Linked DNA regions of Danio rerio. Each later gene encodes a partner of the first gene's protein in a complex. Links are inferred from orthologs where the notes say so. Each region holds a gene or a part of one and is shown on either strand. Other genes may lie near its edges. The genes, in order: ndufaf1, tmem186 and ecsit.

What was found.
Region 2: ndufaf1 (region 1) and tmem186 share a complex: the UniProt entries of both Homo sapiens proteins name them as parts of the mitochondrial complex. The link is inferred for Danio rerio from reciprocal best matches to the Homo sapiens genes NDUFAF1 and TMEM186.
Region 3: ndufaf1 (region 1) and ecsit share a complex: the UniProt entries of both Homo sapiens proteins name them as parts of the mitochondrial complex. The link is inferred for Danio rerio from reciprocal best matches to the Homo sapiens genes NDUFAF1 and ECSIT.

What each region holds. Positions count from the first base shown.
Region 1 is NC_133188.1:36,685,524-36,689,811, forward strand, and holds the start of ndufaf1 (complex I intermediate-associated protein 30, mitochondrial), read left to right. Parts: upstream 1-1,472; 5' UTR 1,473-1,699; intron 1,700-2,180; 5' UTR 2,181-2,236; intron 2,237-2,307; exon of another isoform or gene 2,308-2,366; 5' UTR 2,367-2,427; intron 2,428-3,424; exon of another isoform or gene 3,425-3,427; 5' UTR 3,428-3,470; coding exon 3,471-3,989; intron 3,990-4,288. Other genes in the region: RNA polymerase-associated protein RTF1 homolog, read right to left, coding at 1,283-1,366. UniProt on the Homo sapiens protein: As part of the MCIA complex, involved in the assembly of the mitochondrial complex I.
Region 2 is NC_133197.1:27,567,942-27,571,227, reverse strand, and holds tmem186 (transmembrane protein 186), read right to left. Parts: upstream 1,739-3,286; 5' UTR 1,716-1,738; coding exon 1,707-1,715; intron 1,618-1,706; exon of another isoform or gene 1,542-1,617; intron 1,436-1,541; coding exon 758-1,435; 3' UTR 553-757; downstream 1-552. UniProt on the Homo sapiens protein: As part of the MCIA complex, required for efficient assembly of the mitochondrial complex I.
Region 3 is NC_133182.1:17,784,159-17,788,591, reverse strand, and holds the start of ecsit (evolutionarily conserved signaling intermediate in Toll pathway, mitochondrial), read left to right. Parts: upstream 1-1,622; 5' UTR 1,623-1,670; intron 1,671-3,293; 5' UTR 3,294-3,346; coding exon 3,347-3,484; intron 3,485-3,899; coding exon 3,900-4,314; intron 4,315-4,398; coding exon 4,399-4,433. Other genes in the region: eml3 (echinoderm microtubule-associated protein-like 3), read right to left, coding at 1,035-1,059.

The DNA.
Region 1 (4,288 bases):
AATAATGTGAGAGCATGTGTTTGGCCAAGAACAGAAAAGAAGTAATTAACCTATATTCAAGTATACAGATCCAGTTTTCCATGACTTTTCCAAAACCTTTTCTGTTTTTCCAAAATTTTTCCAGGCCTGGAAAATGTCATGTCAAAATTCCATGACTTTTCCAGGTTTTGCATGACCGTATGAATCCTGAACTCGTCTGTCACACTGCAATATTCTTCTGTTATTTTGCTTGTTTTGGCAAAATATGTCTGTAAGCACATGTGATTGCATGTGTTACCATCCCGTGAGTTAACAAACACGTTAAATGTTTACACAGCCAAACTTTAATCAAATTGAATACTTGTAGAGATATCATTATTAATTTGCCTTATACAATACATTGTTATGACTTTCTTCGGTAAGATTTTATTTGATGGTCCCTATTTCACATTTTGTTGGCTAAAAGTTGCATTGCAACTACATGCCAATTAATTCTCATTAGAGTATTAGTAGTCTGTCTGCTTAATATCTGTTGATATTGCTCTTTCAACATTGAACTGACTATAAGAAACTTTGCAAGTACATGTTACCTTACACTAACCCTTACCCCAATCTTACAGTCTACTTATAATCTAATGAGAATTAGTTGGCATGTGGATGCAATGTAACTTAAATTCAACCAATGAGTTAAATGGACCATGAAGTACTAAATAAAGTGATACCCATTCTTCTAATAACTACCCTAACTAATTATTTATCTTATTAATTGTCTAAAAGAGCTTTTTAATGGTCATTAGCAGTTTTATCATATATCACGGTGGGTTTGTTATTTATGGACAAAACAGTCAACTTTATTACATGAATATTTCTCCATGCTCTTATATCAATGAATCATGTGACTTTCTACCCAATCAGAGAGCATGTTTCTGGGAAGTGTTTGATGAGCGTCTGTCCGCTCTAGTGTTTCGTCTTATTTCTGCAACCGAAATAGAAGTTTAGCCGCGGCGCTGTGACGTCATAAAACAGTAAAGGTTCTAAACGCACGCGACTGCTTTCTTTACTAAAGCCGAAATGCGCGCGCACTGCAGGCCACAATAAAAAGCACTCCAAGCATCCCGAATTCAGGTGTAACTGCCTCAATAGCAGCACGACGCCACCATACAGGCCCCTGCTAACCAGCTAGCTTTCCCACATCACTTAGCATGGGACTCCAACACACACATACAGTCCTGACACATTTGTGCCCTAGAAATCGGCAAACAGCGATGTTTTTGGATCACATTCGCGTCAATGAGGTTCCTACCTGATCCAAATTATCATCGCTCGCACTATCCTCCGAGTCGGAGTCAATCACGACCCGACCTTTCCGTTTCTTTACATTCACCATGGTTAGCTGCCTGGCTCCCCTGTGTGTGTGTTTAAACAGCAGCGCCGCACTCCTCCACACAAAGGCGCTAGAGCTACACCGCGCATGCGCACACGCCACCACAAATACATCGACAAGTTTACAGTACCACTTACGTGCTGTTTCTGATAATGTCAAATATAATGTAAAGTACATTAACCACAATTATGATAACATTTGTTAACCACTAAATGTGGGGTTGGTAGGGGGTGAACTGCGAGGAATGTTCGTTGTCGGTAGGACCATAAGCGGATGTCCTTGTTTCAAGTAAGGGCAAATTAAATGACGGGCCGCGAAGGCGCATTTGACTTTTGTGTAAGTATTGCTTAAATATTTTTAATTTATTTATTGATATGTTGTTGATAAATGTGGTCACCGTCAGTGTTTGTACGTTAGCTTTGCTGTAACAATTAAACTTAATCTTCAAATCATGAAGTGTGGGGATTTTAACACGTGTTATTGTACCGCTGACCCTCTCTAGATTAATTTATAACCTTGTTGCTATGGAAGCCAAATATGATAATCCACATGCAAGAGGAATTCCCTGAAAATTACATCTTCATGTATAAAAACTGGCAGATTTATACAAACTTAAATTGCCTTAATAGGTATATACTGTTGTGTAATTGTATTTGTAAATAATTTCCATTTGGTGAGCTTCTACGATAGCAGTTATTTAAATGTACATTTTATTATATTCTCATCTGAATCCATGATTATTCACTTAATCTAAATCATAATAGTAATTACGCATTTATATATTATGTCCACTGTTTTTCTCTAAACCTTTCCATAGACCCTCTTGCACCTCCTTGAAAAAACTCGAATTCAAGAGATCAGCACCATTTTCAGGTACATTAATTTAATAATCACAATGCAAAAAAAAAAATGTTTTTTCTTACTTTGCTTTATCTCTTTTCTAGTCCAAATATCTAAAAAAAATCTTAATCAGGGAAAACTATTGCTGTGTTTTAAAATTCAGATGAAATGAGGCGAAGTTGAGAGTTTTCTCCTTAAAACAAGCAAAAACTTATGCTAGTGGGGTAAGTTAAATAATCCTGTTTTCACTTTGAAATGTAGATGTTTAGACTAGAATGACAAAAAACTTAAACGAATGTACATTAATTTTGTATTAAAACATTAATGAATACAATTCTAACGCTTTTGGTCAACTATAATCCAGACTTAACATTGCATGTCTTTGCAATGACTATTGCAGATGTGCACATTGCGATATCGATGCTGAAACTATATATTGTGCAGCCCTAGTTCCTGTTCAGTGATAATTGACTCAATAATTTTTTCTACAGTTTAAAACCTTCAAAGGGGTAGGTCACCTCAAAATTAAAATATTGTTCTCATTTACTTACCCTTTACTTGTTTCAACCTTTAATTAGTTTCATTCTTCTGTTACACACACAAAGTATATTCTGAAGAATTCTTAAACCTGCAATCATTGTTACATGGAATTTGGTAAGTGGTTACAGATTTTTACCATTCTTCAAAGTATCTTTTCTTGTGTAGAAGAAAGAAACCCATAAAGTAACCATTGAGTAAAAGGGTCGTAAATTTAAAATTTGTGTGAACTATTCCTTTAAATCAGAACAGGAAGTATTACATTTATAAAATAAAGTATGGGTGACTCGGTGGCTTGTCGCCTCACAGCAAGGTCACTGGTTCAAGTCCTGACTGGGTCAGTTGGCATTTCTGTGTGGAGTTTGCATGTGCTCCACGTGTTGGTGTGGGTTTCCTTTGGGTACTCTGGTTTCCCCCATAGTCCAAAGACATGTGCTATAGGTGAATTGAATAAGGTAAATTGTCTGTTGTGTGTGCGTCTGAGTGAGTGTGTATGGATGTTTTTCAGTACTGGGTTGCGCTGTGTAAAACATATGCTGTATAAGTTGGCGGTTCATTCCACTGTGACAACCCCTGACAAATAAAGAAACTAAGCTGGAATGAAAATAAATAAATGAAAATAATGGCTCTAAATGATGCATATACGATTTTACTGTTTGTTATAAATGTTTTTAATTTTTTCAGCAGTCTTCTGGATGTCTAATCTGATCCCAAGAGCTACCCAGACTAAATGGCTGTATCGAGAACAACACTCAAGTCCCTGTATGGAGTTTGTGGAGTGGTTTACAGACAGCCTCTGTTGTTCCCTTCCTCACTCAAATGTGCATCTATACAGATCACCAGGAGCAAGTTTGAGCGAGATTACCAGAGACCCGGTCAGCCTCCAGACACACGCTGGCCTTGGCAGATGATAAACTTTGATTTCTCCAAAGGTGTGGAGAGTGTCAGGAAGCACTTTGGCTTGTTAAAGGATGAGTTTTTCCAGCGCTGGATTGGACCGGAAGGAAAGCCAATAATAGAGCACATGCTGGAACAGACCCGTGTCGTGTGGGAGTTTCGGGGTCCTGAGAGTCTAAATGAGTGGATTGTGTCATCTGATCAGGAGATTGGGGGCCGCAGTGTGGCTTATGTCAGTCTGGGCAAAAACAACACCACGTGTTTGCTGTATGGGACCTTGAGCTCCACCCCTCCACGTGATGGAGAGACTCGATACAGTGGATACTGCTCTATGCGCTCCAAACCCCCAAAGGTCAGTGCTGAGATCCCACATCTGTGTCTCTTTATTATTTTTACCAACATTTAATGCATTTACTTAAGATTTTTTACATTCTGCAAACGTTATTCAATCAATGCATTTGTACAGCAGGTATTTAAAGAAATGGGACATAATACATTGCCAGATTCTTTTAAAAGTGCAGTAGGTGATCTTTCACAATGCTAACAGCTTAGCATAAATCTCTGAATCACAGTCCCTCCCCTGCCGTCCAGAGCCACGCCTCCTGAAACAGGAGCACGTGCACCTTAAAGATGACAGCAAAACAACCCTCT
Region 2 (3,286 bases), on another chromosome or scaffold:
ATTGAGTCTTTGGTCTTTTGAGTTAGTTATGGAGTTACAATCAATCAAATAACACAGAAGTACTGGGATAACAGTTTATAGTTTAGAATAAACCACTGATGTTTATGGTAAAAATTAAAATTAACGTCATATACATTTAACTTGACGCTCAAAAATAAAGGTTGTAAGCAGTAATTACATTATTTAACCAATAGGTTGAATTCAACCAGCCATCAAAAATATGCCACTGAATAATAATAAAAAATGATCCATCTAGCAATGAAACATGAAGTTTTATGAGTAAATAACAAGCATTTATTGAAAACGAGACTAAAAATAAATATGGGTTGTACAAATTATAATGTTAGATTTCTACATTTAGTGTCATCAGCAACAGTAGCAGAAATTGTGAATCTTTCCACAGTACTGAATATTTTACCATTTATTTATATTTAGCTAATTATTTCTTCATTTTTTTTTTTTATAAATATAAGGGTTCTTACTTTTGTTTTTTTGAAACCAAATGTTTCTTGCAGTGCAGTTTTTGTAATAAAATGGAAAAGAAATGACATTTGTCTCCTCCCCTTTTTGGCTAGTCCGATCTGTGACTAAAAAAAACATTATATGATCCAAACCGTAAGATTTGTGATCTGTTACATCACTAATTATTAATAAAATGCACAAAACAAAAGCTACATATACTTAACTTTACCATAAGATCTTTAATTTCTCACTTTGGGAAAGTTTCATATGACATGACATACAAAACTACACAAATTCATGACAAACTCCCAAAAACCTTCCCAAATGCGTGTCTATCCACCACTCGTCCCAGTCTGGTAGAAAAGTACATGGTATTAGAAGTGCTGTAGCGCTTTAACCGAAGAATTGATTCTCCCCTGGAGTCTCCTGAATCTCCCAGAGTCACAACATCTGAGACGGGTACATAAATGTCTCTTCTGTGACCCCAAAAGCTAAGATGTGACACCTTTAATATGGTCTGTGTTGAATCCAAATACATCATGCCAACCACTCTTCTGACAAAGTGGCTTATGGAGTACAGCATGACTCCAGCAAACAAGGCAATGCCTATTGAGCGATTTAAGACCAACACTGATGCCTGGCCCTGCAGGTGGAGGTAATACACAGTGGGCAGCAGGACAACAGTGATGCCCGTCTGTAAGAGTTTGAGTCTTGAAAGAGCCCGCAGGCCCCTGATTAGTGGAAATGCATAGATTAGACTGTATTTTCTTGAGGCAAGGTCAGAGGAGAATGAGGCCGGGTGAATCCGCGTGGTGTGTGTGGATGTGTTGGGCATCTGTTTACCCATGTGTGCCAGGCCGTTGTTGATGTTGTATTGCATGCGAGCACTTGAAATAAGTCCTGAAGGATGGCATCGAAAGCCATATTGAGGGAAATGACGGGAAAGGTGGATTAATCTTGTTGACATCATCATCTGAGGAGACAGTAAGCATCACAACAGTAGTTATTATTAATGTTAATTATTAAAACAACACAAAATATTTTGATAATGTAACCATCATGACTATTGACTATTTGACCTTGTTTATTATGTTGATAAAAACAGTGCTTGACAAAGGCAGTTGTTGTGTTGGCTCAGATTATGCGTTCCAGCTTCTTATATGCGATAATCATAGAAAATACATAAGCATAATTAAATAACGCGCATTATTATTAAATATTATTTCAGTTTTGAATGAACTCACCATGTCCATACAAGTTCAGTGCATCGCGCACTTCTTCTGTGAAGCTGGACATGAGTTATATTATGTATCGTTTCAAAATAAAAGTCCTTAAATCAACGCTTGTCAAAATCGTTTTTGAAACAAGTTGTTAAAAATATTTTAGAGACATGGAATCTACGTGCACTTTTTGTGAATTAGAGAAGGAATCGATAAAACACCTGTTTGTTGAATGCACATATACCCAAATATTTTGGTTTGATGTTGAACATTTTATATTTAAACTTACTAAATTAAAAATTCAGTTTTCTTGTAAAAATATTTTTTGATATTCAATAATAACAACTAAACCTTGGAGCAAAATTTGTTTATTAATTTAATGATAATATATGGGAAGTACCATGTACACAAACAAAACTGATCCAATGATAAGCCTAATATTTATTTGTTTAAAACTTATCTTATGCATATTGAAACCCTACAAGACATAACAAATAAAAAAGCTATAAGAATGTGTGCAATTCTGAAATAATTTTTCTTATGCAATTTTTTGTAATTTATATATCCCTTATATATTTATATATACATATATCCCGTAATTTTATTTATTTTTTATTATTATTATTTACTGATTTGTTCCTTTGATGTGAAAAAGTAAGCATTTTATTTCTCATTTTGCATGACATTTTCCTTGTTATTAATTATTCGGTGTCATTAATATTTAATTAAAGTGAAAATAAAAACAATTAATAAGCATTTATATATTATTATTCGACACGTTATTTCTAATTTTGGCAAAAATTTTAGCATTAAAAAACAATTGATTGTTTCAGTACCATAAAAGTGTCGTGGGTAACATCAAGGGTGCGAATTACAGGGGGGTTGGAGGGTGGGGGGATTGACCCCTCATTAACACTTCTTTGTCCCCCCTGAAGGACATTAAAACAAGATGAATAGGGGGGGTCAGCTCTTTAATAGCTCTTTAATTAAATATTGAAAATAAAAAATTTATAACATAATAAATATACCCTTATAATGGTTCATACCATGTGTGAAAATATAATCGCCCCAATCAATACTAAGAAAAAATATCATTCAACAACAGTCTGAAACTGGCACCGATAGACATCTCAAGTTTTCACAAAACACTTCTTGTAAAATAGTTGTATTTTGACCTTCAGCAACTTCTAAAAAATCACTAAATATCAATACACTGAAAGCGTATACATTTTAATAATAAATGAGGTGTAATTTTAGTACATTAATACATTTGATTCACTGAAGAATGTATTACCAAACTACTATCAAAAAAGTTGACCCATTCGTTCGTCAATGTATAATTCGCACGCTGGTAACATCAATGTTTAAAGTAATTTGTTAAAAAAAAATACCGATAAATTAATTTTAAAATCTAAATTTGAGCACAACTACCCTAAGCGATGTGAAGCTGGACTTGATAGAAAGTCTAGCATACTCCAAAATAAAAGTACTTCCGTTGCCATGACTAAAATTCAGTTAAATAAACACATCAAATGATAAATATTTCCCGCAATTGAAACCGGTAATAATGATTCTATTTTTAGTTTTTATCTCATTTCATAATT
Region 3 (4,433 bases), on another chromosome or scaffold:
AAAACTAATCCGAGTACTATGAACTTAATACATTTGAGTAAACAAAGAAATTTGAGCACGGTAAAAATCAAATAATTAAAGAGAACTCAAACCAATTGACTACTATAAACACAGTAAGTTAAGGCAGCTTAAACAGTTTGGGGACACTGACTGCTACAAACCATTTGAGTAAAAAAAAAAAGTAATCTTTATGAGTACTGTGAACTTACTCTTTTTAAGTTTAAGTAATGAGGTACTTAATTAACACATTACCGAGAGTTTAAAACTCTTTTTAATTGAGTAGAAATAATTTTTTTAAATAAATTTTGAGTTAACTACACTCATTTAATTTGATACAGTTGACTGTTGGGTTTTACAGTATATAATAAGCTATCAGAATTAGTGTTTAATTTAGCTAAAGCCAGTGGTTTAAGAAGTATTGCATGCATTCTTACGCTGGTCAGGCCTGTTTTCTGATTTTTTTAAGACACATTTCAGTTAGCCAGAGCTCCCAACTAAACACCAGCCTGTCTGGCCACATTACGAGACCAACAATCAAGTTTAGACTTGCTTAAGCTACTCTTATAGCTCAAATCAAACAATCGTGAACGCAATAATACAATAATTACAGTAACCGTTGTCGGAAACTCTGTTACCATGGTGTTTTTTCTATGAGGGAAGCTTGAGATACAGTGTCAGTAACTGTTACACCCTGCACTTACACACACACGCTTCATATACAATAAAACAACTAAATATACATATAAAAAGTCTATATTCGTTAAATAAAGTAAACTTAATTACGGTTTAGTTTAGTTTCAACCGTTTTAACCGCATATTTAAATGTCAACAGTGGCGAGCGTTGTTTCATTCGCATTTTAACAAACTCAGAAATGGTAACGTTATGTTCAAAGTGTTTTGCTGAACTAGTTAACTCAACAACAAACTAAAAAAACAAAAGTTGGTTTAACAACAAACGTTAAAAACAAAAGATCTCGTTTATATTTATGTTACGAAGACATAAACAGAGTAAGTGACAGTATTTATCAACTCACCAAGACTGTTCGTAGATCCATCCATGACTAAATCAAACACTCCTTGCAGATTTCACAATTGTGGAATTATATGAGTATGTCCCATTGGCAGAAAGGCAGTGTGTGCTGTGAGCTGCAGCATTGCCTTGTGTTTGCGGGACCCTCGCGCACAATAAACACTGAGCCGCTGAGAGGATTGCAGAAGTTGCTGTAACTCTGAAATCACGAATCCAGGAAATGAGCACAGAGTGAATCTGTCTTTCGCATGAGGAGGCAAGTGCAGCTCAAAACCTGGATTCACTCCAGAAACCGCGTCCGTGTGAAAAACGTTGATTTCTAATTCATCCTTCTCCCCAGGCGAAGCGAAACTGAAATAAATCGCGCTAATCCGCTGCTGTTCCGTTCCCTCTCCCAAAACCCCGCTTAAAGCAAACTAAAAACAAAACTTTGACAGCTGCAGATGGGAGTTTTTTTTACTTGATACATCTCTGCCACCTAGTGTTGATGGATTGAATAACATAGGAACCAATATGTGAGAGAATGCGTCTTTCTAGTGTTTCAGGGGGAATTTTGTGGATGGCGCACCAGGAAACTCGCCGGTGCGTGTTTGAAGGAGACTTGACAGCAAAATGATCCGAGTCAATTCAGGGATCGTGAGTACGTTTTAAAGTATTATTTACGCATGTTTTGTAATTTATGGTCTCTTTTTATATCGGACAATTATAAATATGCTAAAATCCAAATGCGAAAGCCATACATAATGTGATTGTTGTATTATATAATTATGCATTACACTTGTTTGGCATTGAATTTCCAGGATAGATAGATAGATAGATAGATAGATAGATAGATAGATAGATAGATAGATAGATAGATAGATAGATAGATAGATAGATAGATAGATAGATAGATAGATAGATAGATAGATTTCACAATAACGTGATGATCATTAATTTTAATAGATTTAAATTGAATCATTCAGATATACCTCTATTAATAAATATTGAGACCACTTGAAAATCCAATTTCTTTATGTTCCAAATTGAATTTTTATTTGAAATGGGGAAGAAATTCAGTAGAATAAAGTATAATTTAAAAAGCAATATTTTGAAGAAAGCTTGAAACCTGTCTCCATTGACTTAATTAACTTCTATCATAGGAAAACCATTCACTTTTTACTTGTATAGTTGGAAAACATTTCACTATTGACTTCTATAGTAGGAAAACCTATCACCATTTTCTATAGTAGGAAACCCTGTCCCCATTGACTTCTAAAGTAGGAAAACCTTTCACCATTGACTTCTATAGTAGGAAAACCTGTCCCCATTGACTTCTATAGTAGGAAAACCTGTCCCCATTGACTTCTATAGTAGGAAAACCTGTCACCATTGACTTCTATAGTAGGAAAACCTTTCACCATTGACTTCTATAGTAGTAAAACCTATCACTATTGATTTCTATTGTAGGAAAACCTGTCCCCATTGACTTCTATAGAAGGAAAACCTGTCACCATTGACTTCTATAGTAGGAGAACCTGTCACCATTGACTTCTATAGCAGGAAAACCTGTCACCATTGACATCTATAGTAGTAAAACCTGTCACCATTGACCTCTATAGTAGTAAAACCTGTCACCATTGACCTCTATAGTAGGAAAACCTGTCCCCATTGACTTCTATAGAAGGAAAACCTGTCACCATTGACTTCTATAGTAGGAGAACCTGTCACCATTGACTTCTATAGCAGAAAAACCTGTCACCATTGACATCTATAGTAGTAAAACCTGTCACCATTGATTTCTATAGTAGTAAAACCTGTCACCATTGACCTCTATAGTTGTAAAACCTGTCACCATTGACTTCTATAGTAGTAAAACCTGTCACCATTGACCTCTATAGTAGTAAAACCTGTCACCATTGACCTCTATAGTTGTAAAACCTGTCACCATTGACTTCTATAGTAGGAAATCCTGTCACGATTAACTTTTATAGTTGGAAAACCTGTCACCACTGACCTCTATAGTAGGAACAGGTTTTCAGCTTTCTTCAAAGATCTTCCTTTGTGTTCAAGTCCAATTCAAACCACTTTGGAACAAGTGAAGAGTGAAGAAATGACAGATTTACAGTTTTGAATGAACCATCCCTTTAACATAACAGTATATCATGACAAACTCTCGAGAAACAGAGAACTTCCAAGTAGTTATTAAGTTATTTCTAATTACTTTAAGATACATTGTCACAAAGAGTTAAATATTCTAATACTTTCTGCTGTTCCTTTTTAGGCTCATTTCAATACAGCTGTAATTGATCTGAAGTGATTTGTGATGTCGTCATCATGAGCGCCTCTCATCATCTGCTACGGTTGCAGTGCGTCAGGTGCCTTTCCCATTTTTTGGGGACACCTGTACGGCAAGTGATCCTGCCTGGCCGAGCACATCTGCAAACCCCTGGATCACAGCACATCTACGTCCAGGTACATGTTTACTTCTGAATAATGATGGATTTGAGATCATGGGTGCCTGCATTAAAGGGATAGTTCCCTCAAAAATGAAAATGTACCTACTATTTACTCAGTGTTTACAAACTTGATAAGTTTCTTTAAAATCTTAAACACAAAAGAAGATATTTTGAAGAATGCTGAAAACCGGTTACCATTGATCTCTATAGTAGGAACTAAAATAGTATGGAAGTCAATGGTTACAGGTTTTAAGCATTCTTCAAAATATCTTCTTTGTGTTCAATAGAAGAAAGAAATGTTTGGAACAAGTGAAGGGTGAGAAAATAATGACGGAATTTAATTTTTGAGTGAACTGTCCCTTTAACTCCTCTGTTTGTTTGTTTGTTTGTTTGTTTGTTTGTTTGTTTGTTTGTTTGTTTGTTTGTTTTAGCTCCTGAGGCCATTCCATCGCAGTGCAGTGTGTTCCACGGACCGTCAAAATCGGACAGACATTGAAAAATTAGTTGAAGATGAGACGCATCATAAAGACAAAACTTTAGTCACACATGATGATATTTTTGACCGAGCTGCTGGAGACTCAAAAACCAAAGTCGAATTTAACAGGGTGGTGGATGTTTTCAAAAGCAAGGACATTCGGCGACGAGGGCATGTGGAGTTTATATACGCCGCCCTGAAAAAGATGCCTGAATTCGGTGTAGAATGTGACGTTACCGTTTACAACAAACTCCTGGATGTGTTTCCAAAAGAGGTGTTTGTGCCACAAAACTTCATACAGAGGATGTTCAACCACTACCCGCGGCAGCAAGAGTGCGGAGTCCAGGTGCTGGAGCAGATGGAGAATTATGGTGTGTGTTTTTGATTTGAGATAATAGAAACTGAATAAATTGTGTTGTTGATTTGACAACTCTTCATTTTTATTATTTTGCCAGGTGTTATGCCAAACATAGAAACCAAGGTTTTATTG